Linked DNA regions of Notamacropus eugenii. The protein of the gene in region 2 purifies or fractionates together with the protein of the main gene of each other region. This does not show direct contact. Links are inferred from orthologs where the notes say so. Each region holds a gene or a part of one and is shown on either strand. Other genes may lie near its edges.

Evidence for each region. Proteins that work in one complex are often made in the same cells at the same time.
Region 1: the proteins of ADRB2 (region 2) and USP33 purify together in Homo sapiens (affinity purification with western blotting; 3 studies listed by BioGRID and IntAct, with this or other methods). This does not show direct contact. The link is inferred for Notamacropus eugenii from reciprocal best matches to the Homo sapiens genes ADRB2 and USP33.

What each region holds. Positions count from the first base shown.
Region 1 is NC_092873.1:538,966,726-538,974,420, reverse strand, and holds the start of USP33 (ubiquitin carboxyl-terminal hydrolase 33), read left to right. Parts: upstream 1-4,680; 5' UTR 4,681-4,919; intron 4,920-7,695. UniProt on the Homo sapiens protein: Deubiquitinating enzyme involved in various processes such as centrosome duplication, cellular migration and beta-2 adrenergic receptor/ADRB2 recycling.
Region 2 is NC_092872.1:409,722,876-409,730,078, forward strand, and holds the start of ADRB2 (beta-2 adrenergic receptor), read right to left. Parts: upstream 3,074-7,203; 5' UTR 2,785-3,073; coding exon 1,638-2,784; exon of another isoform or gene 863-1,637; intron 1-862. UniProt on the Homo sapiens protein: Beta-adrenergic receptors mediate the catecholamine-induced activation of adenylate cyclase through the action of G proteins. The beta-2-adrenergic receptor binds epinephrine with an approximately 30-fold greater affinity than it does norepinephrine.

The DNA.
Region 1 (7,695 bases), on a different chromosome or scaffold from region 2:
GCTGAGATGCAACAAAGTATGGATCAATTCTCTGCTTCCTGTGCTCATTTTGGCCCAACAATTAACACCAAGAAAACATTTCCACTAGCCAGTACCACATCATCCATACATGGAACCATTGGTTACAACAAATGGACAAATATTGAATTCTGTAGATAAGTTCACTTACTTTGGTAGTGTACTTTCCAGGGATGTACATATTGACAATGAGGTTGATGCACGCATTGCCAGAGCTAGCTCAGTGTTTGGGGGGCTCCAAAGGACAGTATGGGAGAGAAAACGTTTTAGTCTGCCTACTAAACTGAAGGTCTACAGAGCCACTGTGCTGACCTCATTGTTGTTGGCCTGAGAAATCTGGGCAGTCTACCAGCACCATGCCAGGAAACTGAATCACTTCCATTTGAATTGTCTTAGGAAGATTCTGAGGATCACCTGGCAGGATAAGGTACCAGACATTAAGGTCCTTACCCAAACTGAACTGCCAAGCATTCAAACTCTACTACAGAGAGTACAGTTCCAAAGGGCTGGCCACGTGTTTGAATGCCAAAAGTTGTTCAAATGCCAAATTTATATTTGCTAAAAGACTTTTATGAAGAACTCTCACAGGGCAGATGTTCATTCTTGGTCAGAGGAAGTGATACAAGGACACTCTCAAGGTCTCTTTTAGGAACTTTGGAGTTGATTATGTGACATGGGAGACACTAGTATAGGATCACAGGACTGCCCAGCACAGTGTGCCCACATCAGAAAGGGTGTTGTGCTCTATGAGCAAAGCAGAATTGCAGTAGCTTAAAAAAACCCACCAGATATGCAGATTTAGAGACATCACCACTCTGAATGTTCACATGGACAATTTGTGTCTGACCTGTGGTAGAGCATTCCAAGCTCCTATTGGTCTGATCAGCTACAGTTGGAGTGGACACATTGTAACTTGACCCCAACATAGTGATGTCATTTGCGTTCTCTGTGAGAAGAAAGGACAACAACCTACCAGCCAACCAACTCTTCTCCCTGCCCCTCCACCCCGCCCCCTCAGGGAATTGGGGTTAAGTGACTTGCCTAGGGTCACACAGTTATTAAGTACCAAGTGTCAGAGGCAGGATTGGAACTCAGGTCTTCCTGACTCCGGGACCAGTGCTCTCTCCACTGTGCCACCAGCTGCCTCTTGCTCCCTACCTTTTAACAATATTAAGAAAACACTTTAAAATGATCCTGCCTGAAACCTTGGGAATAATCTGAAAGAGAACCCTCCTCTATCTCTCTCAACCATCAATTCCAGGACCAGAGAAGAGCCAGGACCCTCTGACTGATTTATCTAAGAACAGCTCGCTTTTCCCCCATGCCCTGAAGGTGTTAGGATAAGGGTCAACCCTAAGATGCTGCTTTGATGACTTCAGTTAATAGATTACTTGAGTTACTTCAGTTCATTTCACCTTTGGCCAGCTGGCAAGGAGAAACCTTGGAGGGAGTGGTCAAAGAGGAGATGAGTGGTTTAAAGAAATGATTCTCCAACGGTGAACTATTGTCCCATTTAATGAAGCACCCTGTTAACTGACCTGTTACCCAATCTTTGGAGCCTTGCTCAGTTTTAACTGTAGAATATTCCTCTGTTAAAAATCTCTGCCATTGGGACTTCAAAATAGAAGAGAGATGTGTGCTTGAGGTCCTAACGACTTGGGCAGAGTGGATATTTCATTCTCAAAGCAGATCAGTGCTTGCAGTTGAATAATTGGAAAGCATCATTGCCAATTTTTTTGATTAACTCATCAGATTAGATAGATCTGCATTGTTTTTTACTGTTGTGCAGCTGATAAAGAGCTCTTAGCAGACATAGGAGAAATGTCAGCTCTTCCATTGTCTTTCTGTAAAGGAACTGGCCTCTCTGGCCTGAGCCAGTTGGAAGCCAGGAAGGCGTGGCTGGCCAAGGATCCCAGTCCTCACAAGTGCAAGTGGAGTGCCCAACTCATGCTGTTCCCACAAGGAATGTGCACCGCACCTAGTAGGTGAACTAGAGCCCCTCAGGCTGGCTTTGGCTGCATCAGACTCCAAAGGCACCAGGTGGATTTCATGTTCGTCTGATCTAGGGGACAGACAAGGGCCAAGGTTGAGTCCTGCACCCTCCCCAACCATGTGGTCCCTGAAGGCAGATGTAGGCTTTTGCTCATTCCTTCTAGGTGACCTGAGCCAGTGAAGGTCCAGAAGCAGAGTCTATGCAGCTTTGAGGCACTGACCAGGGAGCTGAGGCCAGGGAGGTGAGCACTGGGGACCCATGCACTGCAGCAACCCCACTGTGGATGAGCGCGGTCCTTGGGATGGGGGAGAGTGAACCCCTGAGGTACAGGGGAAACCTGCCATTTCCCTTCTTGCTGTATCTTCAAAGCAAATATCCCTTCGTCAAAGCTAATTGAAGTTAATCGGTTCAATAGACTCAAGGAGAGCCTCTCTTGAATGCAACCCCAGTGAATGGAAGCTCTGGGCTACAGATTTAGAAAAACAAAAACACCTCAAGGCTTGGGGTGCCCCAGGACCCTGAGGGGGAGTGTCACCATCCTAGCCCAGGCCTGATTGGCCTCCCTGAATCAGACCTCCCCCGAAAAAGTCCCTTCTGAGCTCTGAGGTTTGCTGCCTGGAGGACTGAGGAGAGAACTTCAGGACACAGCTTAGTATCAGATTTTTTCTTTTTTCTTTCTTTTTAATAATACTTTGTTTTTCCCCAATTAAACATAAAGACAAGTTTTAATATTCATTTTAAAAAGTTTGGGGTTCCAAATTTCCTTCTTGTTTTCTTCTTCCCCTCATCTGAGCAGGTGAGCAGTTTGGTAGAGGTTATACACGTGCACTCATGCAAAACATATTTCCATATTAGTTGTTAGAAAACAGACCAAAAAAAAAAAAAACAACTCCCCGAAAAAATTAAGTGAAAAAGAGTTTGCTTCGGTCTGCATTCAGACTCCATCAGTTCTTTCTCTGGAAAGAGGTGGACAGCATTTTTCTTCATGAATCCTTTGGAATTGTTTTGGATCATTGTATTCCTGAGCTAAGTCCATCCTAGTGGATCTTCCAACAGTGTTGCTGTTAATGTGTACGATGTGGTCTTGGTTCTGCCCGCTTCACTTTGCATCAATTCATGTTAGTCTTTCCAGGTTTTTCTGAAATTATCCCAGCAGTATTTTTTTAAAAAAATAAGTTTCTATGGCTATTTTCTCTTTCTTGCCTCACCATAGTATCTCACGTGTCTCTCCCTCTCCCCCTTTCAGAGAGCTATTCCATATGACAAATAGTATTTTAGGGGAAAGGAGAGCTCCAGCCATGTGTGAGACCAGGGGACCTCCACCAAGAGGCAGTCTTCTGGTCACCGTTCATTTTGGATTTTTTGGGAGGGGTCATTCTTTGCGCTCACCTTGATGGAGTCGCCCAGTGCCTGGGTGGCAGGGCTCTGATGACCGCTAGTCATCTTCTCCGCTCCTCCTCTGCCTTCCCGCCCTGGAGTGGCACTCGCTGCAGCATCCTCTGGGACCACAATGGGTGGGCCTGAGGCTAGGCCCTTCCCAACAGATGGGCCTTGACTTTGGTCCCAAAGTTCCACAGCACATTCTCCCCTGGGAAGAGGATCGATGGGGGGGAGCGGTAAATGCCCGTTTGCACAGGCTTTGTCCTTGCTGTGGGCTCCCAGGAAACGCTCCTAGGGAAAAGCTGGCAGATTCACCTCCCCAAATTCACCCCCAAACCAAGAACTCACCCCAAAGGGTTGCATAAATGCTGCGCTACTATCTGTTGGGGAGACCACGGCAGGGATGGGACAAAGGGGTCCATCTCCTGGCGTGAAGGACTCTGAGCTGTCCAGTCTCCCCCCTTCCCCGTCCCCAGGACCCAAGGGGGCACAATCAGGCCAGGACGTCGGACTGAGGGCGCTGTACACAGCAGGCACCTAATAAATGCCCACGGACTCACGGGAGGCCAGGAGGTGTCAGGAGCTCCAGGAAGAGTCGGGACCAAAGCAAAGGGGGGGGTCTCCCTAACTGTCCGCCGCCTCGGGGTGGCTGGTGGGCAATCATGAAGACCCAAAGAAAGGACCAGACAGACCCTACCCTCAAGAAGCTCCCAGTGTACCCCAAGATATCCGGAGAACCAACCGAAGGAGGCGGTACCAGACGGAGGGGGCGGGACTCTATGCCTCGCCCCTCCCGAGCCCTGCCCCCTAAAACCCCGCCCTGTTTCGCGGGGGGCGGGGCTCGTTCTCCTCTTCTGAACCCTCCTCCTTCCCTCGAGCCGTGTGCACCCGCCTACCAGTCGGGGGCGGGGCTCACTTCCCTTTCCCCTCCCTCCCCTCCCCTCGGGGCGTGTGCGCCCGCCCTCCAGCCCAGGGGCGGGCTTCTTTCCTCTCTCCCCTCCCTCCTCCCCCTCCGCCCCTCGGGGCGAGTGCGCCTGCCCACCAGCCCGGGGGCGGGGCTCATTCCCTTCTCCCCTCCCCCTCCGCCCCTCGGGGCGAGTGCGCCTGCCCACCAGCCCGGGGGCGGGGCTCATTCCCTTCTCCCCTCCCCCTCCGCCCCTCGGGGCGAGTGCGCCTGCCCACCAGCCCGGGGGCGGGGCTCGCTCCCCTTCTCCTCCCTTCACCATCCGTCCCTCCTTTCTCCTCCCTCCTCCCTCCGCCCCCTCCCCCTTCTCCCCCGCCTCTCCCCTCCCCGCCCCGCCCTTCCCGGCTGGGCCCGCGGCCCCGGAAGGAGGCAGGCGCGGCGGCAGCGGCGGCGGCGGCCGAGGCGGGAGGTTACGCACCGAGGCAAGACGTGGGCCCCGCCGCGGGCCGTGGGCCGTGGGCCGTGGCCGGCGCTGGAGGCGGGGCCGCGGCGGCGGGTGGGACGAGCCCTCGCTGCCGCGGCGCTGATCCCGAGCGACCGTGACCGAGACCGTGACCGTGAACGGTGAGCGGGGCCTGGGGGGCGGGAGAGGCACCCGCTCGGAGGAGGGAGATGACAGCCGCCGCCTGGCCCGCAGCCCGGCCTCCCCTGGCCCCCGCTCTGCGCGAGCGCTTATTAAGTGCCTGCTGTATGCGAGGACCGGGCGGCGTCCGCCGGGGCCCTAACGGAGCCCTGGCTGCGCTATGGATGGGGGCGTGCCCCGAGGGGCCGCCGGGCGTGTGGCCCCTAGGGCGGAGGGCTGAGGTCCCCGGTGAGACACTCCGCCCCCCAGCGGCGGGGCCTTGAATGCCGGCTTCAGTGGGACCCGGGCAGGAGGGCCCGGCGCTCCCCCGAGGTGGGGGGCCCCGGGCAGCTTGTCCCCCCACCGGTCACCTCAAACAGAATACGGGACCGAGCTGGACCTTGGGCAGGGCCCCGGGGTCAGTGACCAGGGTGCGAGCCAGGGCACCGATGGCAGGTGGAAGGTGTGAGACTGTAGACAGTCGGTGCTTAATGCTTGGGCTCCTGTGGTCAGTCCCATGTCTGTGGAGGCGCTCCGGGACCATAGCCGAGCCAGGGTCAGTCTGACCGGAGCCATGGCTCAGGCCGGGTCAGTCTGCTGTGGCCGGGGTGGCCCGTCCGGGGTGGTTCAGCCTGGCTGGCCCGTCTTGGGTGGCCCGTCCGGGGTGGCCTATCCTGGGTGGCCAGGCCTGGGCCCAGCGCCTGGGGCTGGGCCCCTTCCTGGACAGTTCTGGCTCTCTTAGCTTACAGAAGCAGCACCTGTTGCTCACACTTTCAAAGGCTTGGAGGTTTGGCCTTAATCAGAACGGAGGGTCCTCAGGAGAAGCAGCCCCAGAGAAAGGCCTGGTGGCTGGCTGAGGCCTGTCCTCTCAGAAGGAGCCCACGGTCATTGATGTCAGGTCCATCTCAGATAGAGAGATGCCGAGCAGATGAAAGGGGTGGACTGGGAAAGAAGGGGAGTCTGGGGGAGAAGGGCAACATGCAGGGGAAAGAGGGAATTCCAGGTGAGTCCTGCACCAGCCACCTTCGCTGAGTCAGGCGGGATTTGAATGCAGGTCTCTCTCCAGCAGGCCAGGAGGAGGGATGGGAGAATTGAGACCTCTCCTCTGGTGTCCTCTGCTCTGCAGGCCAAGTTTGGGGTGCGTTGTTTGAGGAGGAGGTTGGGGTAGTCTCCAAAGGAATGACAGAAGTGGATCCGTTTGTTTCAGGACAATTGCCTGAATATCTTAGGAGTGAAGATTGAATCTAGGGACTGTGGGTGATGAAGATCCACTCAGTGGACTTCTATTGAAAAAGCGTTAAGCATCCCCCCTGTCAGGCCTCGCCCTAAGCACTGGGGATAAAGACAAAGACAAAAAACAACCATCCTTCCCTACAGGGAACTTATACTCTAGTTGGGAGAAAAAGCCTTGATATAGAAAATCAAACATAAACCATGTAAAGAAGAATTAAAAAAAAAACCAACACAACAATTTCCAGGGAGGAGAGCACAGGTCTAATATGAAGGACAATTCTGTGTTTTTTTTAAAAATTACTTTTATTTTTTTCATCAACTATTCCCCAATTACATGTAAAAAATTTTTAACAATCATTTTTTAAAATTTTGAGTCTCAAATTCTTTCCCTCTCTCTCCCACCCCTTCTTCCTCCTTGAGAAGCAAGCAATTTTATTTTGATTATACGCTGAGCTCATGCAAAGCGTATTTCTATGTTAGCCATGGTGTGAAAGAAAACACATGCACACACACACACAGAATAAGAAATCAGGTTAAAAAAACAAGTCTGCTTTGATCTGCACTCAGAGTCCATCCGTCTGTGGAGGAGGAGAGCCTTTTTGGGATTGTCTTGGTCCAGTAACAGAGTCTTTCACAGTCGCTAACTTGCAGTGCTGCTATTTCTATGCAGTGTCCTGGTTCTGTTCGATTTGCATATGTTCATATAAGTCTTCCCAGGTTTTTCTGAAGCCATGAAGGACAATTTTGTTAATAAGAATAGGTTTTCTTTTTAAAAAAATACTTTCAAGTTTAGCTTCAATAAGAGATCATTTTCATGTACAAAGGCTAGAAAAGGGGGGAGTGCAGAGGAATGTGAAAAGTAAAACAGAGAGTGGGAGGGAGACCTCTGTCCCGGTAGCCTTGAACATGGGGTCTTTACTGTAGCCATGGTCAGATTCTCCAAGAAAGTCAGGAAGTGGAGGAGCTGAAAAGACAGATGACTGAGGAGGATCCTGGGGCCTGGCTGGGAAGTCACAGGCTCTCATTCTCCGGTCCCTTCAGCTCACACTAGTTGTGGAAAAGCAGTTCAGAGAAACGTTTCTATGAACTTGAATTTTCCTTGTATTATTAGCTGCATTGTTTTGGATTCTGGAAGAGCTGGGGCCAAACCTCCTGTCTGCTGTGTGCTTCCAGAGTGCCTCTGGGCAGTTCTCTCTTAATTAAATCACAGGTCTGGGGCACAGTTCTCCCCCTAAGAAACAACTCAGACTCTTTAGAAGATTTTTTAAATGAGTGTATGGCAGCGTCTTTACGACCGATGGAATTACAGCCCTCTATGGAGGAGTTGGGTCAGCGAAAGCATGAACAAAGTATGCAAGGCTTGGGGCATCTAGGGGGCGCCATGGTGCTTAGAGTCGGGGAGACTCCTCTTGGGGAGATCAACTCTGACCCCAGACACTTGCTAGCTGTGTGAGCCTGAGCCAAGTCATTTCACCCAATTTGCCTCCGTTTCCTCACCTGTAAGGTGGGGACAGTAATGGCACCTATCTTCCAGGGTGGTGAAGA
Region 2 (7,203 bases):
TATGCCACATGAAAGCATGGGAATCCAATGAAGTAATGGGTCTGTAAAGAGCTCTGTAATTTTGATGGGCTATGTAAATGAGAACTATAAGTCTGATTATTATTGAACTGAACTGAAGTTTTTACTTGATCACAATTTTACTTCATCATAGGATACTAAATCTAGAGCTGCAAGGACATCAGAGGCCAGCTAATAATCCAGCCTCCTCTTTTTACAGATGAGGAAACAGAGGTCTAAGTTAGCTAAGTAATTTCACTAAGGTCACTTGGGTAATAAGTATCAGTGGGCACTTGAACCCAGCTGCTTTTTTCATCCCTCTTTCCACTGTACCACCATCTTCCCACGGATAATTTTGGAATAAAGAATTAATGGGAAATTGACAACTTCCCATTAATAATAAATAATAATTTTATTATTGAATAATCATTAAATATATTTACATATCAATAATACATAAATAGGTACACTAATGAGCAACATAAGCAAATCAGAGAAGCCTGATTTAGGGTAGAAGGATTATGTGAGACGTGTTTATTATAACATTCAATGCCAACAGACTTAAGCTATGTGTAAGTGTAATTCCAGGAAGTGTGGCATGAAAAAAGAAGACGAGCTAGAGCAAAAGCCCTGGGTTTAAGTCTCCATCAACACTTTGTAGCCATATGACCATAGGCAAGTCCCTTCCTTCACCTCCTGAACCTTGAGCTCCTTAATACAATGGAGATGATATTTCCCCCTATACACCTCACAAAGCTATGGAGAATAGCACTAGGTAAAACTGGTAAACACCACAGAAATGTGAGGTCTTATTGTTACTATTAATTCACCATTAAGTCACTGGACAGCTATTACAAACAGTTACCTGTGGTTTCCAACAAGAATGTTCCGCTGGGGGGATTTGGACAAACAGGTGTAATGATGTCACAGCAAAACAATTTATTTACTGTAAACTTTAGACTTTGCTCATTCAACAGCAGAAGCTGTCCCCTCTGTGTCCCTGCCTCCAATAGCCCATGTGAGCCAATAGGAGGATAAGACGAATCCATATGGACAGCCAGGTCCGGCTGGAGCATCCGCAAGGCCCAGGGGGAAGGCTTGCTCCTCCAGATAGATGTCCCAAGTAGAAGTATGCTAACCCTAATACTTGACAAATGAGGTAGATCTAGAAGAAAGTCATCCAAACTCGACCAAGTCCTCAAGGTCTGAGATCCTTGAAGTGGGATATACACTTCCAAACTCCATTCCAGGCAGAACCCACCTGTTACAGAAATGCAGAATCCCTAGAACTGGTGGGTGAGTTATTTTGTTTCCTGTTAACTTAAAAACTTAAAAAATAAATAGGCTAAGTCTGTCCTCCTCCACCTGCCCATCTCTCTCTAGGCTGACTAGACATTTCTAGCTCAGGAGTTAGAGTGTGCTTAGTATTTGAGTGTTGGTGACGAGTTGTTTTTGTGGATTGTTTTGGGGGGGGGGGAGGGTTGGTGGTTGCTGTTCTTTTAAAAAGTGGATTCTTTCTTTTTCCCCACCTTGCTTGGTTTGCTGAGGGTTTTTTACCAACCAGAGAGACAGTCACAAGGGGGTATCATCCAGAGTCTGATCCTGGCTCTCTAAGGTCGCGCTAGCATTAGGCACAGTACCTGCACAGTTCAAAAAGCCCTCAGTGCCTGGGAGGTCTTCATACAGCAGCTCGATCTCCTTCTCCTGCTCGGTGGGATAGCTCCCTCGCTCCTCGTTGGGCTCACTTCTCCCATTGCTGTTGCTGGAGTGGCCATTGCCATAGAGCTTCAGGGCTGACCTCCTGAAACAGAGGAGCTCCTGAAAGGCATATCTGAAGTCCGGGCTCCGGCAGTAGATCAGCGGGTTGAAGGCTGAATTGGCGTAGCCCACCCAGTTCAGAAAAATGTACACATATTTGGGGACAATGTTGTCCTGTATCGCATGGACAATGTTAACAATGAAGAAAGGCAACCAACAGAGGGTAAAGGTCCCCATGATGATACCCAAGGTCTTGAGAGCTTTATGTTCCTTCAAACAGAACTTGGAAGACCTTCGGTGACTTGTCCTTCCATTTTGCTCCATCTGGTTGCTGTTCTGGACATGAAAGCGGCCCTCAGATTTATCTATCTTCTTAAGTTGCTTCTTGGCCACCTGGAAGACCCGGGAGTACACAAATACCATGACCACCAGAGGCACATAAAAGGACACAATAGAGGAAGCAATGGCATAAGCCTGGTTAGTGAAGAAGTCACAGCAGGTCTCCTTCTCATAACATGAGAGAGCTTCCTGGTGGCTGGCACGATACCAGTGCATCTGAATGGGCAGGAAGGAGGTGAGGGCCGATACCACCCAGACCACTAGGATGACCACCCTGGCCTTGCCCTTGGTAAGCAGACTCTGGTACCGAAAAGGTGCTGTGATGGCGAAGTAGCGGTCCACAGCAATAACGCAGAGGGTCTCGATGCTAGCTGTGACACACAGAACATCAATGGAGGTCCAGAACTCACACCAAAAGTTCCCAAAGGTCCACATTTCCATGAGGATGTGACTGGCACCAAAAGGCACCACTGCCAGCCCCATAACCAGGTCAGCACAAGCCAGTGATGTGATGAAGTAGTTAGTGACTGTCTGCAAACGCTGGAACCTGGCGATGGCTGTGATGACCAGCACATTGCCAAACACAGTGGCTAGAACTATAATGGACATGACAATGCCCAAGCCCACCATCCACGCTTCACCCTTCTGAATGGTGGCGTTTAAAAAGCTGTGGCTCAAGTTGGCAGACATGACCCCCCAAGCTGTCCCCCCGGGGGGCGGGGCCGTCCCTGGAGGTCCACAAGCCTTGATTGAGAGTACCCCGCTGCCAATCTCTTCTTGGCAGGGGCTCAGCTCCCTGAGAGTCCCAAGCAGCTGCTCGCCCGACGAGGGCCCGTCATTCAGTCTCCGTAAGGTGCACAGGACCTCCAGGAACAGAGGGGAAGGAGGAAAGCAGGGCGCGCCCCAGTCTGAGGATCTGACCTTAGGAACAGCGAAAGCGGCAGCTTCTCGCAGCGAGCGCGCAGACTGCAAGTGCTCGGAGCCCGCTATGCGCCCCGGACTTCAGAACTTCGGTTGTCCCCCGGCCCGCCTCCATCCGATGACGTTATGTTACTTTCGGCCAATGGTGTGAGGGAGACCCCGCCCCTCCCCCCCTGCTGCTGGGAGTCCCGGCCCTCCCCGGAGCCGCACCTTATTCAGGGCGCGCTGAATGTGGAAGATCTGGGCTCTGGGTTTCCGCGGGAGCCCCAGGGGGTGCAGCTCTGCCTGCCCCGGCCTTGCAGACTGGACGCCCCGTTGGGAGTCAGCAGATCCCAGGAGACACACACATGTAATGAGATGCGGAGAGACAGTCACACACACAGACAGGCATACCGAGAAAAACGTTAGCGCACACAGACGCAGAGATCCAGAGAGAGAGACCGAGAAAGACATAGGTACACAGGCACACGCGAAGACGCAAGAACACCGAGTAACTCTAACCCTAATTATGTAACTATGGTACCTAGACACACACAGACACAGGCATACAGACACATGGGTACGCGCACCAAGAAACAGTTGTAAACATTGGGACAAAGACAGTGGCACACAGAGAGCAACAGGCAGTGAATGACACACACACAGACGCAGAAACAAACACATTCTCACAGGCACAAGCGCACTTCTTTTAGATTAGTTGAAAAACTGAAGTCTGACAGCGTAGTCAGTCAGTCAATCAACAAACATTTAATTAAGCGCTGTGCTACGCAATGAAGACACAAAGGGCAAAAGCAGTCCTCGCCCTGAAGGACATCATTTTCCGAGGAGGGCAACAGTACACAAACAGCTATGTATGTACAAGATATATATACAAGGTAACTGAAATGTGGGTGATCTCAGAGAGGGACAGGGTAAGGCTTCTTGTAGGTTTAATAACAGAGAAGTCCCTTTTTTGCAGGAAAGATGTTATTTATCCTAATCTCCATGGTCATTGCTTGAGCATGTAATGAATGTTACAATTCTTTTTCATCCTTAGGCTCACACATTTAGAGATGGAAGAGACCTCAGAGATCACATCTAGATCTTCCTTTCATTTTATAGATGAGGAATCCATGACTTAATGAAGAAATGACTCATTACAAAGACTTAGGCAATGAATAACAGAATCTGAACCCTCCTTCTTTTATTCCAAATCCAAGGAATCCAAATCCAAATCACTCCACTGCACCCCACTGAGTCCCAGAGAGTTGCGTTTATTTTCTTTTTCTTCTATTTCTTTTTTGGAGAGTGAAAGATTTGAAGGTGGGATAGAGGACCCAGGGAAACATGTTGTTTATTTTTAATGCAAAGGACAACATTTTTCTAGTCTGATTTCATTTTCTTTTCTTTTTTTTGCCTGATTTCATTTTCAAGTGAGAATACTTCAAGTTTCAAGGTTAAGTATCGGATTTATTGTACACTCACTCTGATTTCCACATGCACTTGCATTAGCATGATAGTCTACTCTGCACATCTGCACATAGTCCCATGGAGCAAATGTCAAAGCTTACAGATATCAGAGGGTGCCCACCTGCATCTGAAGAGAGCTCCTCCATTTGGGAGTTCCCTTTACCAATGGAATCACATGATCACAGGATCATAGGTTCAGTGCTAGAATAAACCTTAAAAGGTATCTATCAAGCTCAAGTCCCTGATTCTACAGATGAGGAATTAAGGTCCAGTGAGGTTGTTACTTACCTAAGGTCACAGGGTAGAAATAAATGGCAGAGCCAGGATTTGAAAAGAATAAAGGTACTCAGTAACAATAGCTAGTATCTGGTGCTTTACAAATTACCTTACATCCATTATCTAAGCTTCATAACAGTTCTATAAGGTATGTATTATTCCCCCCTCCCCCTTTTTTTTAGATGGGGGAATTGAGATTGAGAAAAGTTAGGTGACTTGTCTGAAATCACAGAACTAGTTAGTGGCAGAATTAGGATTTGAACTTCTGTCTTCTGACTTCAGATCCGAAATGCTTTTCACTACCTAACATTGGTAGCTATGTAACAACAGTTTTCATTTATTCGACACTTGATGATTACAAATCACCCCGTATCCATTATCTTCTTTGATCCTTACAGCATAAGGATGACAGCAGAAGCAGCGGTTATAATAGCCCTGAGGGCAAGGGAATGCAAATGTTATACCCACTGATGAGGAAACTAGGAAACTGAAGCAAAATGAAAGTCTGGACAACAGCTGTGGTGGATCTAGAACTTGAATTCATGTCTCTCGTAACAGAGTCTGGAATCACACACACCCCTGCATCTCTCCAAATGGTGTAGCATGAAGTTCCCTTTATAGCCACAGTAGATACTTTCCAAAGACTTTGGAGTTTATTAGAGGCAAAGTGGTGAAGCAGAGATTTGACCTCGGAAGACCCAGTTCAAGTCCTGCCACTGATACATACTGACCCTGGGCAAATTACTTAACATCTCTGTTCTAGGCAACTCTCGATGACTAGAAATTGCTAAAATAGTGCCCACCTGCATTTGGGAAGGAAATCTCATCTGGGGCTCTCCCTAAACCAATCAAATTGAAGATCTAATGCCCATCTACTATTCCTGTTGGTCTTATTATCTGGCTGAAGTACATGTGTATTGAAACAAACTTCCTTAGGGTATTTAGTAAAATCAGTTTATTAGATGATGCATGTGGGTGTTGTATCTAGTGCAAATTGGTCAGGCAGTCTTCACCAACACGCACTAATGTTCACATGAATAGCCTTCAGCGGGCACCTAATTTAAGTCCTTTATTTTACAAGTGAGGAAACTGAGGCACAAAGAGTCTAAATGGCTGGTCCAAGATCAAATGGGTAGTAAGTAGTAGAACTGAAATTCAAACCCAGGTCATCTGACCACAGATCCAGGGCTCATTCCATTGTACCACACTGCCTCCCAGAGGGAGGGGAGGAGAAGAGAGGGAAGGCAGAATTGTAAGTAGATCATAGACTTAGGGCTGGAAGGGATCTTAAAGGTCTTCTCCAACCCCCTCATTTTACAGATGAGGAAACTGAGACCTAAAGAGTTTAAGTGATTTGTCCAAATTTGCACAGGTAAGTCCCCTAGCGGTTAATTCCCTCCTTCTATTCATTGTAAGGGTTTAGATATAATATCTGTGTGTGTGTGTGTATGTGTGTGTGTGTGTGTGTGTGTGTGTGCATGCATTTAGACATTATCTCCTCCACCAGACTGTATACTCGAGTTTCACTTTTGTCATTGTAGCCCCAGCAGTTAGCACAGACTTGCCATTAAAATAAATCTTTAATAAAAATGTTGTTTGAGTGATTGTAAGTAGCAGTGGTTTGAACCCAGGTCCAATGACTCCAAATTCAGAACTCCATCCACTGGACCACATTGTAGTCTGTCTTCAAGGAGCAGAGTTGAGAAATAGTGTTTTTGGCAGGCAGCGATGCCTATTTGCACAGCTATTATAAATCAAGAAATTGTATGAATCGATGCAATAGCTATTTATTGAGAACTTAGTGTGAGTACATGTTGTAGTTGAAAGAGGATTGGATTTGGAGGCAGAAGACCTGGATTTGAGTCTTAAGCTCAGCTCCCTTCCAGCACTGTGGTCTTCAACAAGTCACTTCCACTCCCTGGGTCTCAGTTTCCTCAACTATAAACTGAGGGAAATGCACTCACTTGATTATCTCGAAGTGCCTTTTTAACTCAAAATCCTGTGATGTATAAAATTTGGCCAAGCTTGCACAACATGCATACCACATTCCTGTGTTTTCACATTGGACTGTAACATGAGGGATTGGGGGAATTAATAATGTTTGTTTTGTAACACCATTTCCTTAAAAAATGAAGTTCAGTCTCTCATTAGTTTCCATCTGGCTTACCGCAGCAACTTACTAATAAGACTTGCTATCTCCACCCTTGTGAATCCAACCAGGTGTCCAGTAAATCTAATCAAAAGAGGTTTAAAATAAAAAGAATGAGGGAAAGAGACAACTAAATGGCACAGTAGTTAGAGGCCTGGAATCAAGAAGACCTGTGTTCAAATCCAGCCTCAGACTTAGTTGTGTGACCATGGGCAAGTACCTTAATCTCTATGTGATTATTGTTATGAGTATAAAATAAGATAATATTTAGAAGCTGAGGCATCCAGAAATTCGGAGAAGACAATATTCAGGAA